Linked DNA regions of Xenopus tropicalis. The protein of the gene in region 4 purifies or fractionates together with the protein of the main gene of each other region. This does not show direct contact. Links are inferred from orthologs where the notes say so. Each region holds a gene or a part of one and is shown on either strand. Other genes may lie near its edges.

Region 1 (3,567 bases), on a different chromosome or scaffold from region 4:
GGGGGGGACCTGCCCTAGTTCAGTTTGGTTTTCCTTTCCTGACTGCCAATAACACTTTCCCTTTGTCCTTGCCTAAACAAAAGCAAGGGACTGGTTCTCATCTAATGGGATTTATGGCCTATGATGTTTGGCCTTTGTTTTCCAAAAATAAATTTAATTTACCTATATTTTGTATTCTGTGGAACACTCATAAATCTGATACCTGTTGGTATGACACGGAAACCTCCTGCATGGTTCTCTAAAGTCCAAGTGTCTCCTTTTTAAATGTATTTCTACCTAGGCCTAAATAATGCATTACATTAGGATATGCAGTACTGTGTATATTCTATAATTCACAGTATCCCCTGTGTTTCTGCAGCAGTCGGCTCCTTCCAGCGGGGGCCTATTTGGAGCAGGAAGCAGTGGAGCGGGTACCGGAGGGTTATTCAGCGGCCTCGGAGCAAAACCCAGCCAGGAAGCTGCCAACAAGAATCCTTTTGGTTCCCCGGGTTCCTCTACTTTTGGTGCAGCCAATGCATCCAGTAAGTGCCACTTGTTCCAGCTGAAGCCGCCCATACCTGCAAACATACAGCCTATTAATAAAAGCTTTATAGGGGTAAGGGCTTGTGAGGTTATTATAGGGACAATAGCTGAAGTAGGTCACATGGTGATTCTGCTGTCAGGCTATTGGATCTCCTTGATGAATGTAGCAGATAGTGGTTCTGGCTGCTCTTGAACTCCCTGTGGGTAGCAGTGTCTGAGGAGCTGGGAGACACTCTCTGCATTGCAGATGTCTGGAAAAATTACTGCCTCGCTGACTTCCAAAGGGTTTCTTCCTGCATTTAAAGGGATAGGTCACCTGTACAACCCAAACTTATTATATACAGGTATAAATTGGCTTATTCTTAGCAACTTTTTTAGGTTTTTTTTTTTATAGTTTTTGAATGATTTGCTTTCTCCTACTGCTGCTTTCCAGACCCCAGCAGCCAAAGTCTATGGTTCTGTAAAGCTACAGTTTTATTACTTTACTGTTTATCCATAGCAACCAGCCGGCAAATTTCAATGGACTAGTGCTGTTAGAGACAAGATCCATAACCTATTTTAGTTGTGAGCCAATTAAGTGTTGGTGAGCCACACAAGCATGTGTTTGGGGTTCCAAATAAAGATTGTGATTGGCTATTCGATAGCCCCATATGGACTGCTAGCCTACAGGAGGCTCTGCTTGAACTAAAACGGAGTCTAGGCCAAAAATGTAAAAATAGACGCCTACTTCGAGGCTGCTGGGAGCAATATCAAAGGCAAATGGTGAGAGTACTAAATCTGACCAGTTTGGATGTTGTGGTGTGCTTTAGAAGTGATGCCCTGATCACCCTATTAATTGCAGATGCCAGCAACCTGTTTGGCAACAGTGGAGCCAAGTCTTTTGGGTTTGGCGGCACATCGTTTGGGGAGAAACCCTCGGGAACATTCAGCGCAGGTGGCAGTGTGGCCTCCCAGGGATTCGGCTTCCCCAGCCCCACTAAGACAGGTATTGTACATATGGTACATGTTGCATTGCAGTCTGGTCATGTGCTCCCAGAACATTCCTTCTCTGTATATTTGTATTTATACATATGGGAGGGAGGTGCCATAGTGTTTCCCTTAGACAGTACAGTATGGGGGTACAGCTTATTGTGTGCCCAGAACATTCCTTCTCTGTATATTTGTATTTATACATATGGGAGGGAGGTGCCATAATGTTTCCCTTAGACAGTACAGTATGGGGGTACAGCTTATTGTGTGCCCAGAACATTCCTTCTTTGTATATTTGTATTTATACATATGGGAGGGAGGTGCCATAGTGTTTCCCTTAGACAGTACAGTATGGGGGTACAGCTTATTGTGTGCCCAGAACATTCCTTCTCTGTATATTTGTATTTATACATATGGGAGGGAGGTGCCATAGTGTTTCCCTTAGACAGTACAGTATGAGGGTACAGCTTATTGTGTGCCCAGAACATTCCTTCTCTGTATATTTGTATTTATACATATGGGAGGGAGGTGCCATAGTGTTTCCCTTAGACAGTACAGTATGGGGGTACAGCTTATTGTATGCCCAGAACATTCCTTCTCTGTATATTTGTATTTAAACATATGGGAGGGAGGTGCCATAGTGTTTGCCTTAGACAGTACAGTATGAGGGTACAGCTTATTGTGTGCCCAGAACGTTCCTTCTCTGTATATTTGTATTTATACATATGGGAGGGAGGTGCCATAGTGTTTCCCTTAGACAGTACAGTACGGGGGTACAGCTTATTGTGTGCCCAGAACATTCCTTCTCTGTATATTTGTATTTATACATATGGGAGGGAGGTGCCATAGTGTTTCCCTTAGACAGTACAGTATGAGGGTACAGCTTATTGTGTGCCCAGAACATTCCTTCTCTGTATATTTGTATTTATACATATGGGAGGGAGGTGCCATAGTGTTTCCCTTAGACAGTACAGTATGGGGGTACAGCTTATTGTGTGCCCAGAACATTCCTTCTCTGTATATTTGTATTTATACATATGGGAGGGAGGTGCCATAGTGTTTCCCTTAGACAGTACAGTATGGGGGTACAGCTTATTGTGTGCCCAGAACATTCCTTCTCTGTATATTTGTATTTATACATATGGGAGGGAGGTGCCATAGTGTTTCCCTTAGACAGTACAGTATGAGGGTACAGCTTATTGTGTGCCCAGAACATTCCTTCTCTGTATATTTGTATTTATACATATGGGAGGGAGGTGCCATAGTGTTTCCCTTAGACAGTACAGTATGAGGGTACAGCTTATTGTGTGCCCAGAACATTCCTTCTCTGTATATTTGTATTTATACATATGGGAGGGAGGTGCCATAGTGTTTCCCTTAGACAGTACAGTATGAGGGTACAGCTTATTGTGTGCACTTACAGACACCATTACTAGGCAATTGGTCCTATAATGGGGTTAAAACCCTTACACTACTAAGTCCTGGCACGGCGGTGCTGGTGATTGATTCAGGCCTAGGCAGAACATGTCACCAATAATTGGATTGAGGGATGTGGCTTTGCACAAACACCGCTCTGGGGTCAGGCCCAAACGAAGGCCTTATCCTTCCCATAGTAACCACACATTAATTTGTAGCCGAGGAAATGTCTGAGCGTGTCCTTCCTGTGCCCTGTAACTAAGGCTAGCTCTCTGCTGCTAGAGAATGTACATTTATTCCCAGTACTCGGCTCGTGCTGAGGAAGCAATGGGGACTCCATGTATTACTCCCTTCCCTGTCTCTTAGCTCCGCCCTCATACAGCCGGGCTTCCCCCTGGCCTTCGTTATAAGCGGATCATTAATAAACATGCCGTAACCAAATCTCCAAACCACTTCAATCAATAATTCAAGGGCAACTTTTCTTTTTTTTAATTTTGGGGTATGGAGCAGGGAGGCTACACCTTTCACTGTTTTACTGGCCTGCAATATGTTATCCCATGCAGAGCTAATAGTCTTACTGTGTATTAGTAAGCACTGGCGGGAATAGCCTGTCGGCATTGGCAACTGGTTATTAGTCTGGCACTTACACATACAGGTATA
Region 2 (3,567 bases), about 50 Mb from region 4:
CCACTGCGCATGTAGGATTCTGAAGATAGACGAGTGAAAAAGGATTGCTTGGTCGCTGGAACCCCGCTTGCAGTTCTCTGATAACAGAAGCACCAGCCCAAGTATCAGGTAAGGCAGTGCTGTCCAACTGGCGGCCCTCTGTGTGGCCCCCCACCTGTCTGGCTGCTTTGATGGCTTACCTTTGTGTAACCTTTAAATGGTATCAGTACTGAGATTAACTGCCCCCCCAGCATGGTTCTCACCTCAGATTCAGGCTGTAATCAGGCTGTATTGTTTAAACATGTAATCCCCTGTGTTGTTCACACCTTTTAATCTCTGCATTGTTCACCCCCTGCAGTGTTCACACCTCAGGCTCAGGCTGTAATCACCCCCATTGTTCCCCTGTTCACACCTCAGGAGCAGTAGAAACCCACAAATAATCCCTGCACACTACAAAAAGAACATATACTGAGGTGGTACTTCAATTAAAAAGTTTTTTAATATATAGTTATTGTGCAGACTGTAGGAGCAGTGCCAGCATTGTGTCACTGTAGGCTGCCTGTGTGTGCCATACACACAGGCATCATAGGGCAAGCAGAGTATGGCACACACAGGCAGAGTATGGCACACACAGGCCAAGTATGGCACAAACCAGCCAAGAATGGTAAACACAGTGAAAGTATGGCAGGGTAGGGAAGGCAGAGTATGGCACACACAGGCAGGGTAGGGAAGGCAGAGTATGGCACACACAGGCAGGGTAGGGCAGGCAGAGTATGGCAGGTTTTTGCTGTACTATAACCATTAATATGGGTATGGTCATGTGATAACATGGGTGTGGTTTCAAGTGGGTGCGGTTTCAAAAAGGGGAGTGGTCAAAACTGGCTTCCATTATCGGCCCTCCACCACATAGGTCGGAAAAATTCCGGCCCTCGGTACAACAGAAGTTGGACAGCACTGAGGTAAGGGATTAAACCCCCCCCCCCTAGTGATTGTAACTTTCCTTCACTAAATCAGCAATTATAAGCCTGGGGCGCACAAAAAAAGTATTAAAGAGAAAAATCTATTAAATCTAATAAATATAGAACACTAGGTGGCCAACTTCAGAATTAAACAGAAAAAAAAGAAAAAAAGTCATACCATGTTTTCCTTTCACGCCAATGTGATCTAAGTATGCAATGCAGATTTTCTTCTATAACAAAGCGCTCTACAGAATGGCTTCCAGGCATGACTGGACCCTGCAAGAATATAAATATTGTAAAATTCCTGTGGGTAACAAAAAAATAAAATAGGGATTTTAATACACAATTCAAAATAGTCCACTAAATAAATTTCAAATTTGGTTGAAAACTCAGTGTGGAAGAGGGCCAGAACATTATTTAAACTGAGTGATGGACCCTGCAGACATCACTTGGGCAGCAGCCATACAGGAACAATTCTAATAATTTTCCCAACTATGCCGGGATATATTCCCTCATGTCCACACAATCTATTCATATCCTCATATCCAATGTAAGTTATAAAAGAGATTGCACGAAGTGCATTTATTTTCACTGAAACGCCGAACCTCTAAATAAATTTGGCCTCATATGCATAATTCAGTTAGTATGTCTGCATTAAGAATAGTTTACACAAATAACTTAGGACTGACAAATTAACTTGTATAAACATTACATGAAGTAAAAAAAAATGGGAACATTTATATGAAATTGCATCCAAACTCTCTAGTAGTTGTAGTTCAAAAACATATGAAAGGTCGAAACTAGCTGATGCCCTGTTAGACACAGGAACTATTCAACCCATCTGAACACATTCCTCTGATGTCCATAAAGCTCAAAGCTTTATAAGATTGCGCTCGTTATTCTTTACCTCAGGTGCATCTGTGTAGTCAAACATCCTGAAAACAACTCTTGGCACTGGGTACACAGAATCTTCAGTATGAGGTGGTGGTGTAAATGGTGGAAGATTGTGCTGCAGAGCTTCACACAAAACGCTGTCAAAGGCTAGGTATGGACGTAGGATGTGTCTTTCTTGCCAACGGTCCTTTTTTAACTTCTGTATTTGTGCCCACAAGCAGTCTAAATACTGAAGAGAATGCAGAAGTTTTCAAATGTAAATTAAAGTAGAAACACCTTAAAATCCATCAACTTAATTTGATTCACTCTTATAAGGCTGTTAAATGTTTTCTAGATCACCAACTTTAGTATCTGTATGATTTTCTAGGCATTTATTTCCTGGTACAACCAATTGGCACGTAGCATATTCTCCCCTTTAATTTTTTTTTTTAAAACAGAAAAGAAGCCCCTTATCTGGCTTTTCAGCAAGTAAACTACTTAACGGAATACTGTCATGGGAAAACATGTTTTTTTCAAAACGCATCAGTTAATAGAGCTTCTCCAGCAGAATCCTGCATTGAAATAGTTTTTTTTAAAGCACAAACAGATTTTTTATATTTAATTTTAAAATTTCACATGGGGCAGAACACAGTTAGCAGAACAATGGGAAGGTAGCAAGATAGCAGCTCCCAGTAGATATCAGAATAGCACTCAATAGTAGGAAACCCAAGTCCGGCTTGGGACTCCTCCAGATACATGGGAGTAGGAGAAACAATAGGTTATCTGAAAGCAGTTCTAATATGTAGCGCTGGCTCCTTCTGAAAGCTCAGCACAATGCCCTGAGATGGCTGCCTACACACCAATATTACAGCTAAAAAACAAAAAAAAATACATTTGTTGGTTCAAGAATAATATTTTAAACGGTAGAATTATTTACTATGTAAAAAGTGTAATTTAGAAATAAAAAGTATACCATAAAAATCATGACAATTTCTTTAATCTTTCTCTTGCCTACACTGGGGGAAACAGGCACCATGGGGACATGCCGAAGCAACCCATGATGTTTCCCCTGAAACATTCAGAAAACACTGCCTGTAATACCCACATCCCAAAGCTAGCTTGATCTAGGGACTGTATGTAAACCTTGTAGAGAAGAAAGCAAGTGTAAGAAAAACCAGGTAACTGTTTTGTAAATCTGCTTAGCAGACCCCTGGGTGCTGATGGCTCGAGTAGAATGAGCTGGAAAGGACTGTTCACCTACCTGCCAGCCGTAGTGTTGCCCCAGCCAATGCATAACCTGCATATTAGACAGGTGCAGACCTCTCCGAGAGAGAAAAATGAAGCATCAGACAGGGGAAAACTTGCCTGCAGACCTCCATGAAGCGGGAAGGCATTTGGGCACCCTAAAAGGTTTAATCTTCCTCAGGGGGCTGGAGGGTCTCTAAAATAATCATGGCCCTAAAGCAGCATGGCCTTGATCTGCAGTCCTGACCATCTGCTAAGGACTGTGGAGTCACTCTGACCTTTTCCTGTGCATTTTTCAAGGCTAAAATCAGCACATTCAGAAATGTGAAGAAAAACCTACAAGCATCCATTAAACATTAAAGGCCACCTACCATACAAAAAATGTTCCCCTGACCCCACTAAATGCTTAGTCACCCACCGGGATCTCCTGGTGCAGGTGGCCATGTTGGGACATTAACAACAGCTTCCCAGCTTTGGCTTGGTCCGCACACTTGTATCGATGTTATGCTCG
Region 3 (3,567 bases), on a different chromosome or scaffold from region 4:
GAATATTGGATATATTTCAGTTAAAGTAAACAATAAATTACACAAGTAAGAATGCTTAAAACAAAAAAAGAACCTCTCAGGTATGACTTTGGGGCCCTCTTAAAGGAATACTTTCATGGAAAAACAAGTTTTTTCAAAATGCATCAGTTAAAAGAGCTTCTCCAGCAGAATCCTGCATTGAAATCCATTTTTCAAAAACAGTGTAAATATGTGTCCTTGATATCCAAGGGCATCAAGAGTTGGTTTGGTGCCTTGATGACTAAGCGCAGCTTCTCCTTTGTGAGATAATGGCTCAAGCCCTTGATAGGAAGGAGGGGGTGCTCCTTCCTAAAGAGATTGGAGTAAAGCCCACAGAACTGCTCCCGCTATGGTACCAGGACAACCCGTTTCAGTTACATTTTAGAAAGCGAGACTTTCCACATGACTTTAAACATGAAAAATCTCTGGGGAGAAGTTGCCGAGAACTCTAAGTGGCATCTCTTCAACCCATATAGAAGGCTAACACTGTAGGGTACAGCGAGTCCTGTCCCAGGTCAGTGCTGTGGGTCTTATGTAGACAAGACACTTAAATATGTCAAACAGGAAAGCTTATGGGTAAGGGTAGAGTATTCCTGGCCCATCCTCTTTTTTTCTGTCCTGCCTTCTGAAGGATGGACCTTAACCCAGTAGGTCCCCCACCCCCCTCACCACTTTGTTTTTACTTTTATACAGATCCATGAACAATATATCTGCCAACTGTTAAACATTGCTCTAATTAACACAGCTCTACAAACCCATCAACACACACCTGAAAGGTTGAGATCTGAAAGGATGACACCAGTTAGGAATCCATGCATATCAAACTGCACCCGTCCACTCTGAACACCTTCTGTGATCACAGACTTTACTGATCCAAGGGCCAGCATACAGGCCTCATGTATCTTCCACCTATGTAAAAGGGAAAGCAAGTAAAATTGGATTATTATTACACAGCTTGTATAAATAGACTATGTATGTACCAGACACACACTGTTCTTTTAAGTTTTCTCTGGATCTGATTATGCAGTCTTCCCGATAAATTGCCCATGTTATTGCTGGTATTTAGTGCTACACGTATCCTTGAAATAACTGGTTGCTGTCCAATATGTTAAAGCAACAGTAACACCCAAAAATTAAAGTGTATCAAAATGATTAATATATTATGTACTACTGTCCTGCACTGGTAAAAGTTGTGTGTTTGCTTCAGGAACACTACTATAGTTTATCTAAGCAAAATTGTTGTGTAATCATGGGAGCCGCCATTCAAATTGAAAAAAGGAGAATAGGCACAGGTTACATAGCAGATAACAGATACATTGCATAGATTCCCATTATATTCTACAAAGCTTTTCTGTTACCTGCTATGTAACCTTCAGGGCAATAGTATATAATATCTTGATTACTTTGGTACACTTTAATTGTTTGGTGTTCCTTTAAAGGAGAAAGAAAGGTAAAAACTAAGTAAGCTTTATCAGAAAGGTCTATGTAAATACAGCCATAAGCACTCACAGAAACGCTGCACTGACTTCTCTGAAAAGATTAGTTGTGTCTAATTCCTGTGCCAGATACACACAGCTTTCTGTTCTCTGCTCTTTCCTGCTCCCCCCTCCCTCAAGAATGCTAAGAACTCACTTTCCCCCTTAGGAATGTGGATCTGAGCCAATCAGCAGGAAGCTGACTCATAGTCTTACACACTGAGCATGTTCACTTGGTCTGGGTGTCTGTGCAGGTGTGAGGTATTATGGGAACTTTCTTTACACAGCTCAGCGTATTTTCTTCCTGTTTGGCTTCAGATTTTCTGAAAAGGTGAAATATGGGGAGACTTAAGGGCACTATTGAGACAACTGAAGGTATGCCTGCAGCTTGAGATTAACTCTTTACCAGCCTTTCCTTCTCCTTTAATAAAATGTTAAATGTTCCTTTAATAAAGGTCTACAAATGGAAATGTATTATTTTATTTAACAGAGGTCTTACATATTCCACAGGCCTATTTTCAAGTATTAATAAATCAATCACTTTTGGGGGTAAACGGTTTGCAAACATATAAACATTCATGGAAAATAATTTTCCATAAGCAAACCATTTGGACCTCAACCTTACTACAAATCTGAAAGTGTCTTGGGGAATGCCGTCAATTCTGTAGGGCAACAGCCAGCAAGAAACAGCCCATGTGTCCTTCCCATCTTTTTTTTTTGTAATTGTACTAAAATTGGATTGCAGCAGCTTGAGAAAGTGGCAGGGTTGGACTGGGGGTGCCGCCCCCTCAGGGGCTCTTGCAGGTCGCCTCACCCCCCTCCCGTACATAATGCATAGCACCGGAGCATCGGGGGAGAGCTATTAGCGCTCAAGGGAGGGAACTGGGTCTGAGCCAGCAGGGCCCCACTACGGCTTGGGGCCCAGTCCGACCCTGGACAGTGGAGCACCAGCAAATGGGTGGTGTGCTTTAGTTTCTTATCAGCTATGACAATGCCACAATGATGGCATAATGTCATGGGAAAACATTTTTGTTTTGTTTTGTTTTGTTTTTTAAAAACACATCAGTTAATAGAGCATCTCCAGCATTTAATTTTGAAATTTCACATGGGGCTAGCCATATTGTTCATTTCCCAGGGTGCCACAGCCATGTGACTTATACTCTGATAAACTTCAGTCCTACTTTACTGCAAGCTGGAGTGATATCGGCAATTCGGGGAGATTAGTCGTCCGCGAATTTGTCGCGGGCGACTAATCTCCCCGTGTGCCAGAGCCCTTAAAGTGGTAGATATCAGAATAGCACTCAATAGTAAAAAAATCCAAGCCTGACTTGGAACTCCACCAGTTACATGGAGTAGGAGAAACAAGAACAACATTTTAAATGGCACAGTGAATTATTTTCTATGTAAACAGTGTAATTTTGAAATAAAAAGTACACCATAAAAATCATGACAGAATCCCTTTAACAACCAGGGGCGTTTGTTACCAAGCAGGAAGATCCTGGAGAGGACAAAGCGCCACAATCTATCATCCAGATCTAAATATAGAGTTTTTACCCAACTATCTAAATCTGGCCATACACGTGGCGATCTGACGATGTTTCGTACGACCATCGGTCGCACGAAACATCGTAAGATCCGCCACACACCATTCAGGGCTGAATCGGCAGGTAAGGAGGTAGAAACAATAGGATTTCTACCTCCTTCTGCCGATTCAGCTCTGAAGGGAGAATTTGTCAGGCGCCTTCTAACCTTGTTTCGTACGATAATATCGGTGCGTGTATGGCCACCTTAACCCACACAAATGTCCTATCAGAGTTTTTGACCATTTTTTAAAGTCAAACCCAGACAGAAATAGACTGGATAATGATCAGACACAGTCTGGGTGTAGTTGCATTTGTAGCCTCATGTGTGGCTTGTGCACCATTCTGTTATTTCCCTGGATCCTCAAAAGGATCAAGAGAAAATGTACAATTAGACTTACACTGACCCAGGTAAATACGGTTTGCTGACGGCTTGTGTCAACAACACTCTAAGGAATCCAGAGAGGTTTAAAATTCCCTCTAAATCAAAATAT
Region 4 (4,198 bases):
CTTTAGCATAGTCAGCCCACATCACTTGATCCTCCCTCACTTTTACACCTCTTATTCATGAATGTTAAAGGAGCATTGTGTAAAGAGAAAATAGTTGATACTGTAGGTTTCATCTTACACTGTTTACTAGGAATTCTTGAATGACTCAGTGGTTAAAAAGGTAAAAATCATGGGAGGGTGTACATTTGCTAGAACTCACCAATGGTTCTAATCTATCATGGGCTAGTGGCCTTCCTCTAAAAAAAAAAAATAATGCACCAGCATGCCTTACTTTACCTTCCTAAACATTCCCTGTGACACCACAAAAAGCAGAAAAAAAGATGGAGTGGGGGTCAGAATTACATCATGCATTTTTATTTTTTGTAAATGAGCACTAATGAGATAGGTTAGTGATTAAAGTCATTGGGTGCCAGTTGGCAAGACATGCCCCCAGTGATTCCTAATGTTCCAGTTGAGTGCACACAAATTAAAAAAAATATACTTTATAAACTGATCAACTGCCTTACACAGTACATATCTTTACACCATACAAAGCGTTAAGGCCATTGGACATTCAATTACATATATGGGTGCAGTAAAGTCATTCTAATAGACCTTTAACGTTTTCCCATGAACCTGAACAACTACCCAACTGACCCATGGGAAATCAAAGACAGTCACGTGTTCTCAAACAACATTTCTCGCCAGCAGAGCAGGGAAATACATGTATGGGTAATAACACAAAATGAACCACTTTCTGAAGCTGCTGTAAACCAAAAGCTCACAACATAGTGCATTACATGGCGCCAAACAAGCAGCCAGAGCTGGAAACCACCATCACAATTTGGGCTTAAGAGCGACAAAGCATAGAGGCTGGAGCAAAGCTTGATGGCTTATAAAAATGTGGGGCGGAGCTACCAGCTAAAAACACACACAGTTCTGCCAGAGCTGTGATGCCATCTTCTGAAATGTCCCAGGTGCCTTGTGGTCATCAGGATTGCACACATCAACTGCGGTTGGACCCAAAAAGACTGCTGAAACATTATAGAACACAGTGGCATGGTTCTGGTACTACTAAGCGGTCAGAAAGAACTGACCTGGGATTTAGAGTTAACCCCCCGTGACTGCAATTGCCAACAAATTGGCACCCCCAATCCTTTCTCTTTTCACTGTCCTTTAAGACACTTATCTTGTGTATTAAAGCATTGGTTTGGTATGCCCAACAACCTGGATGCCTGTATTTGCTTAAAAGGTATCTAAAACCAAAGACTTTTCAAATACACAAAGCTTAGATCCAGTTTTCATCCCTTTCTGCTCTCTACCTCTGGCTCAAACAAAAATGTCAGTTTCTGTCAGGCCTGTTAGGCTAAGGACAAAAGCAGAGTTTCTTCAACAGAGGGAAAAAGATACTGGCCCATGTGTAGTGTTATCAATACCAGCCATTTATATGTACACTTGTGCCAACATCTGCCTATAAACAGAGCAACAGGAAGTTACTGCCAACATCACTGCATAGCAACAGTACAAAAAACCCCACAGGATGTGCAATTAGCCTTAATCAGCTTGCATCTGCCAATATCACAAAAAAGTGTGTAAGTATATAAGAAAAGTAGCTTCTAATTAAATGTTGTTTTCTTTGTAAAAATAGAGCTTTGGGTTGGAGTTTCCGTTTAAGTAAAACTTTGTGTGCCAGAAGTTAGAGGCCCACGTGTGAGGAATAGCTGCAGCGCATTGGCTCAGCGCAGGTACCAGCAGGCGGAATAGCACGCAGGCCAACCCACCCACTAAAGCTTGTGGAAACAACTGCCCATCGCTGCCAATGCCATTTTGGTTACGTGACAGAACAATGCCAATTTCACGCCTGACAAAGTTGGGTCCCACATGACAATTAGTCACTGGGACCAGGATTAGTGGATTAAAAAAAATCCATTCTCCGTGCTAACTATCGGCTGACCCATAAATGTTTGTCTCAACTAGCAAGCTCCGGCCAATACATAATCTATCGGCCACCCCTCCACCCCAGCTAAGTGGTACCTTCCCGCAAGCTAGCAGGCCTAGGAGAGCAGGGCGGTGCGGTTAATAGAACAAGGCCGGGGATGCTAGCGTCGCGCCTCAGTGACACATGAGGTTCCGGGGTGAATGAGCGCTAATGGCGGGGACGCGCTTCCTGCGACGGCCTGCTTCCCGGTTTCCCCGCAAACTACATAGGTTTTAACTAGTCTGCCTTTACTTAACAGCCACAATATTGAGTATGTATAAACCCGGCCTACATGGCACTTCATGGGACTCGGCCTAGTACAAGTCATGTTTATCGCGCCTGATACTGTCTAGTCACCGGCGAAATAAAAAGAAGAGGCCACACAAACGAGAGAACTCGCCCACTGATAATTAGCAGAATACGTGTAGCCTCTGCTAACAGAACATCCCAGCAAATTACATAAGGAACTAGCAGTGAAGTCCCATAAAGAATGTAGCGCCATGGAGGAAAAAAAGCGCGCCAACATATAACTCCCCCCGCCTCTCATCAGGCTCTCAGCCCCGCTTTTCCCTTACCGACTAGAATCCCTCTCAAATCTACCGTGCCCGGCCGCACGATTAACCAGCGAGTGCTACAAGAGCTTCGGGACGCTTTGCGAATAGGGATGGCCGAGATGTCGGGCGGATTATGCGGCAGGGCCCAGCCTATATCTCCCACGGGTTAGAATCTCACCTTCCAGAAGCGTCTGTAAAGCAGCGAGAGAAAATGGCGGAAGCGGGATTCAAATAGCAGGGCGCGCTCTGGGAGGGGCGGTGACGTGGGAGGCGATGACGTCAGTGCGGGCAGTGCAAGCAGCAGCAATGCGGCGGGCGGGAGTGCGGGGAAAGGCCTATAGGCGGGAAGGTTTGAATGAAAGGACTTACGTAAGGGCTCCGTGTAGCGCGCCTCTTCTGGCGCAGCACTAACAAAGGGCTATCTGCAGCGTGTCATGTACAAATGGCACATTGTTTTACGTTTTTACGTATGTCAACTGATAGAAGTGGGTTGCACTGAGGAACACAAAGGGAAAAATGGCATAAGCTCCGACTCTGTGACTCTACTACCATCAAGAGTTTAAATACCGGGGAATTCCCTACCAGTCATTTGAACTGAAGAAGCCACTCGGATTAGTGGTGAAACATTTCAAGAAAACTCAGAAAAAGTCCAGTTGTTTTAGACTTAATTCTACTAGATACTCCGAGACCATGCTTTATGCGTTAATAACGTTTTGCTGTTGAAGGTGAACACTTTAAACCCTCAAAAACAATATATGCTTTTTTTTAATTCAATTTAGCAACACGATATAAGCTAATAATTACATTTTACATAATACAGACATACTGTATATCAGAAAAAATTCATTTTATGCCTGAAGATACAACTGATTTGGAATGCCCTGTATCTACTGACTGTCAACACAAGATTTGTATAGTTTCATAGAATTGTTTGACTTGTATGGGCCAAAATATCAGCAACACAGTAACAAAGTACCCAAACAAACCATACATATTTTTAAAGAATACATTATGGCAAATCCAAAAGCCATGAATATCTCTCAATACTCTAAACTAGCCAACTGCAATCCTTTCCTTAAGTTAGGGATTTTTATAACAATTTCTGGAATTTTGAAAAATTTGCACTAAACCTTTCCCATTTGAGCATCTTATTTCCTACATGAGGTATCAATATAAAACACCCCAAATATGAACATCAGGGCTCTACTTAATATTAACACATTCTCCCAAATCCAAATGAATATGTCTTTCTACTCCAAACCACAAACCCTTCCTGAATTTGGTGGTTTTTATTACATTTTGGAAAATCACTTTAAAGCTTCCACTTTGTAGCATCTTATGACAATTCGCGAAAAAGTCGCAAAATACCGATCATTACGAAAAAAACGCCTTCGGACACTTTTCGGACGTTCGTGGATTAGTAAATGTGCCCCCAGGGCTCTGCTAAACAGTTTGATGTCCAATGTGAGTAAGTTTACCAAAGTATGTGGCATATAGGGGCCCCAAAATTAAATACCCCATGTGATTTATCATTGCTCTTATTTTAGTTACTGCAAATATCAACACCAAGAGGCACATTTATCAAAGCATGATGACCACAATTGCAAAAATTATGTATATTTTTTCTAATGTTTATAACTTTTCATACTGATCACAATAATATCGTTAAAATTCTGCTACCTTTTCT

The links.
Region 1: the proteins of ran (region 4) and nup214 purify together in Homo sapiens (affinity purification with mass spectrometry; 3 studies listed by BioGRID and IntAct, counting the BioPlex papers as one, with this or other methods). This does not show direct contact. The link is inferred for Xenopus tropicalis from reciprocal best matches to the Homo sapiens genes RAN and NUP214.
Region 2: the proteins of ran (region 4) and ncbp1 purify together in Homo sapiens (co-immunoprecipitation; 3 studies listed by BioGRID and IntAct, with this or other methods). This does not show direct contact. The link is inferred for Xenopus tropicalis from reciprocal best matches to the Homo sapiens genes RAN and NCBP1.
Region 3: the proteins of ran (region 4) and ipo9 purify together in Homo sapiens (affinity purification with mass spectrometry; 3 studies listed by BioGRID and IntAct, with this or other methods). This does not show direct contact. The link is inferred for Xenopus tropicalis from reciprocal best matches to the Homo sapiens genes RAN and IPO9.

The regions. Positions count from the first base shown.
Region 1 is NC_030684.2:12,371,335-12,374,901, reverse strand, and holds part of nup214 (nuclear pore complex protein Nup214), read left to right. Parts: intron 1-358; coding exon 359-521; intron 522-1,363; coding exon 1,364-1,507; intron 1,508-3,567. UniProt on the Homo sapiens protein: Part of the nuclear pore complex. Has a critical role in nucleocytoplasmic transport.
Region 2 is NC_030677.2:107,423,929-107,427,495, reverse strand, and holds part of ncbp1 (nuclear cap-binding protein subunit 1), read right to left. Parts: intron 2,062-3,567; coding exon 1,846-2,061; intron 1,215-1,845; coding exon 1,117-1,214; intron 1-1,116. UniProt on the Homo sapiens protein: Component of the cap-binding complex (CBC), which binds cotranscriptionally to the 5'-cap of pre-mRNAs and is involved in various processes such as pre-mRNA splicing, translation regulation, nonsense-mediated mRNA decay, RNA-mediated gene silencing (RNAi) by microRNAs (miRNAs) and mRNA export.
Region 3 is NC_030678.2:75,002,313-75,005,879, forward strand, and holds part of ipo9 (importin-9), read right to left. Parts: intron 928-3,567; coding exon 788-927; intron 1-787. UniProt on the Homo sapiens protein: Nuclear transport receptor that mediates nuclear import of proteins, such as histones, proteasome and actin. Serves as receptor for nuclear localization signals (NLS) in cargo substrates.
Region 4 is NC_030677.2:157,743,357-157,747,554, forward strand, and holds the start of ran (GTP-binding nuclear protein Ran), read right to left. Parts: upstream 2,846-4,198; 5' UTR 2,690-2,845; exon of another isoform or gene 2,533-2,689; intron 2,145-2,532; exon of another isoform or gene 2,014-2,144; intron 1-2,013. UniProt on the Homo sapiens protein: GTPase involved in nucleocytoplasmic transport, participating both to the import and the export from the nucleus of proteins and RNAs. Switches between a cytoplasmic GDP- and a nuclear GTP-bound state by nucleotide exchange and GTP hydrolysis.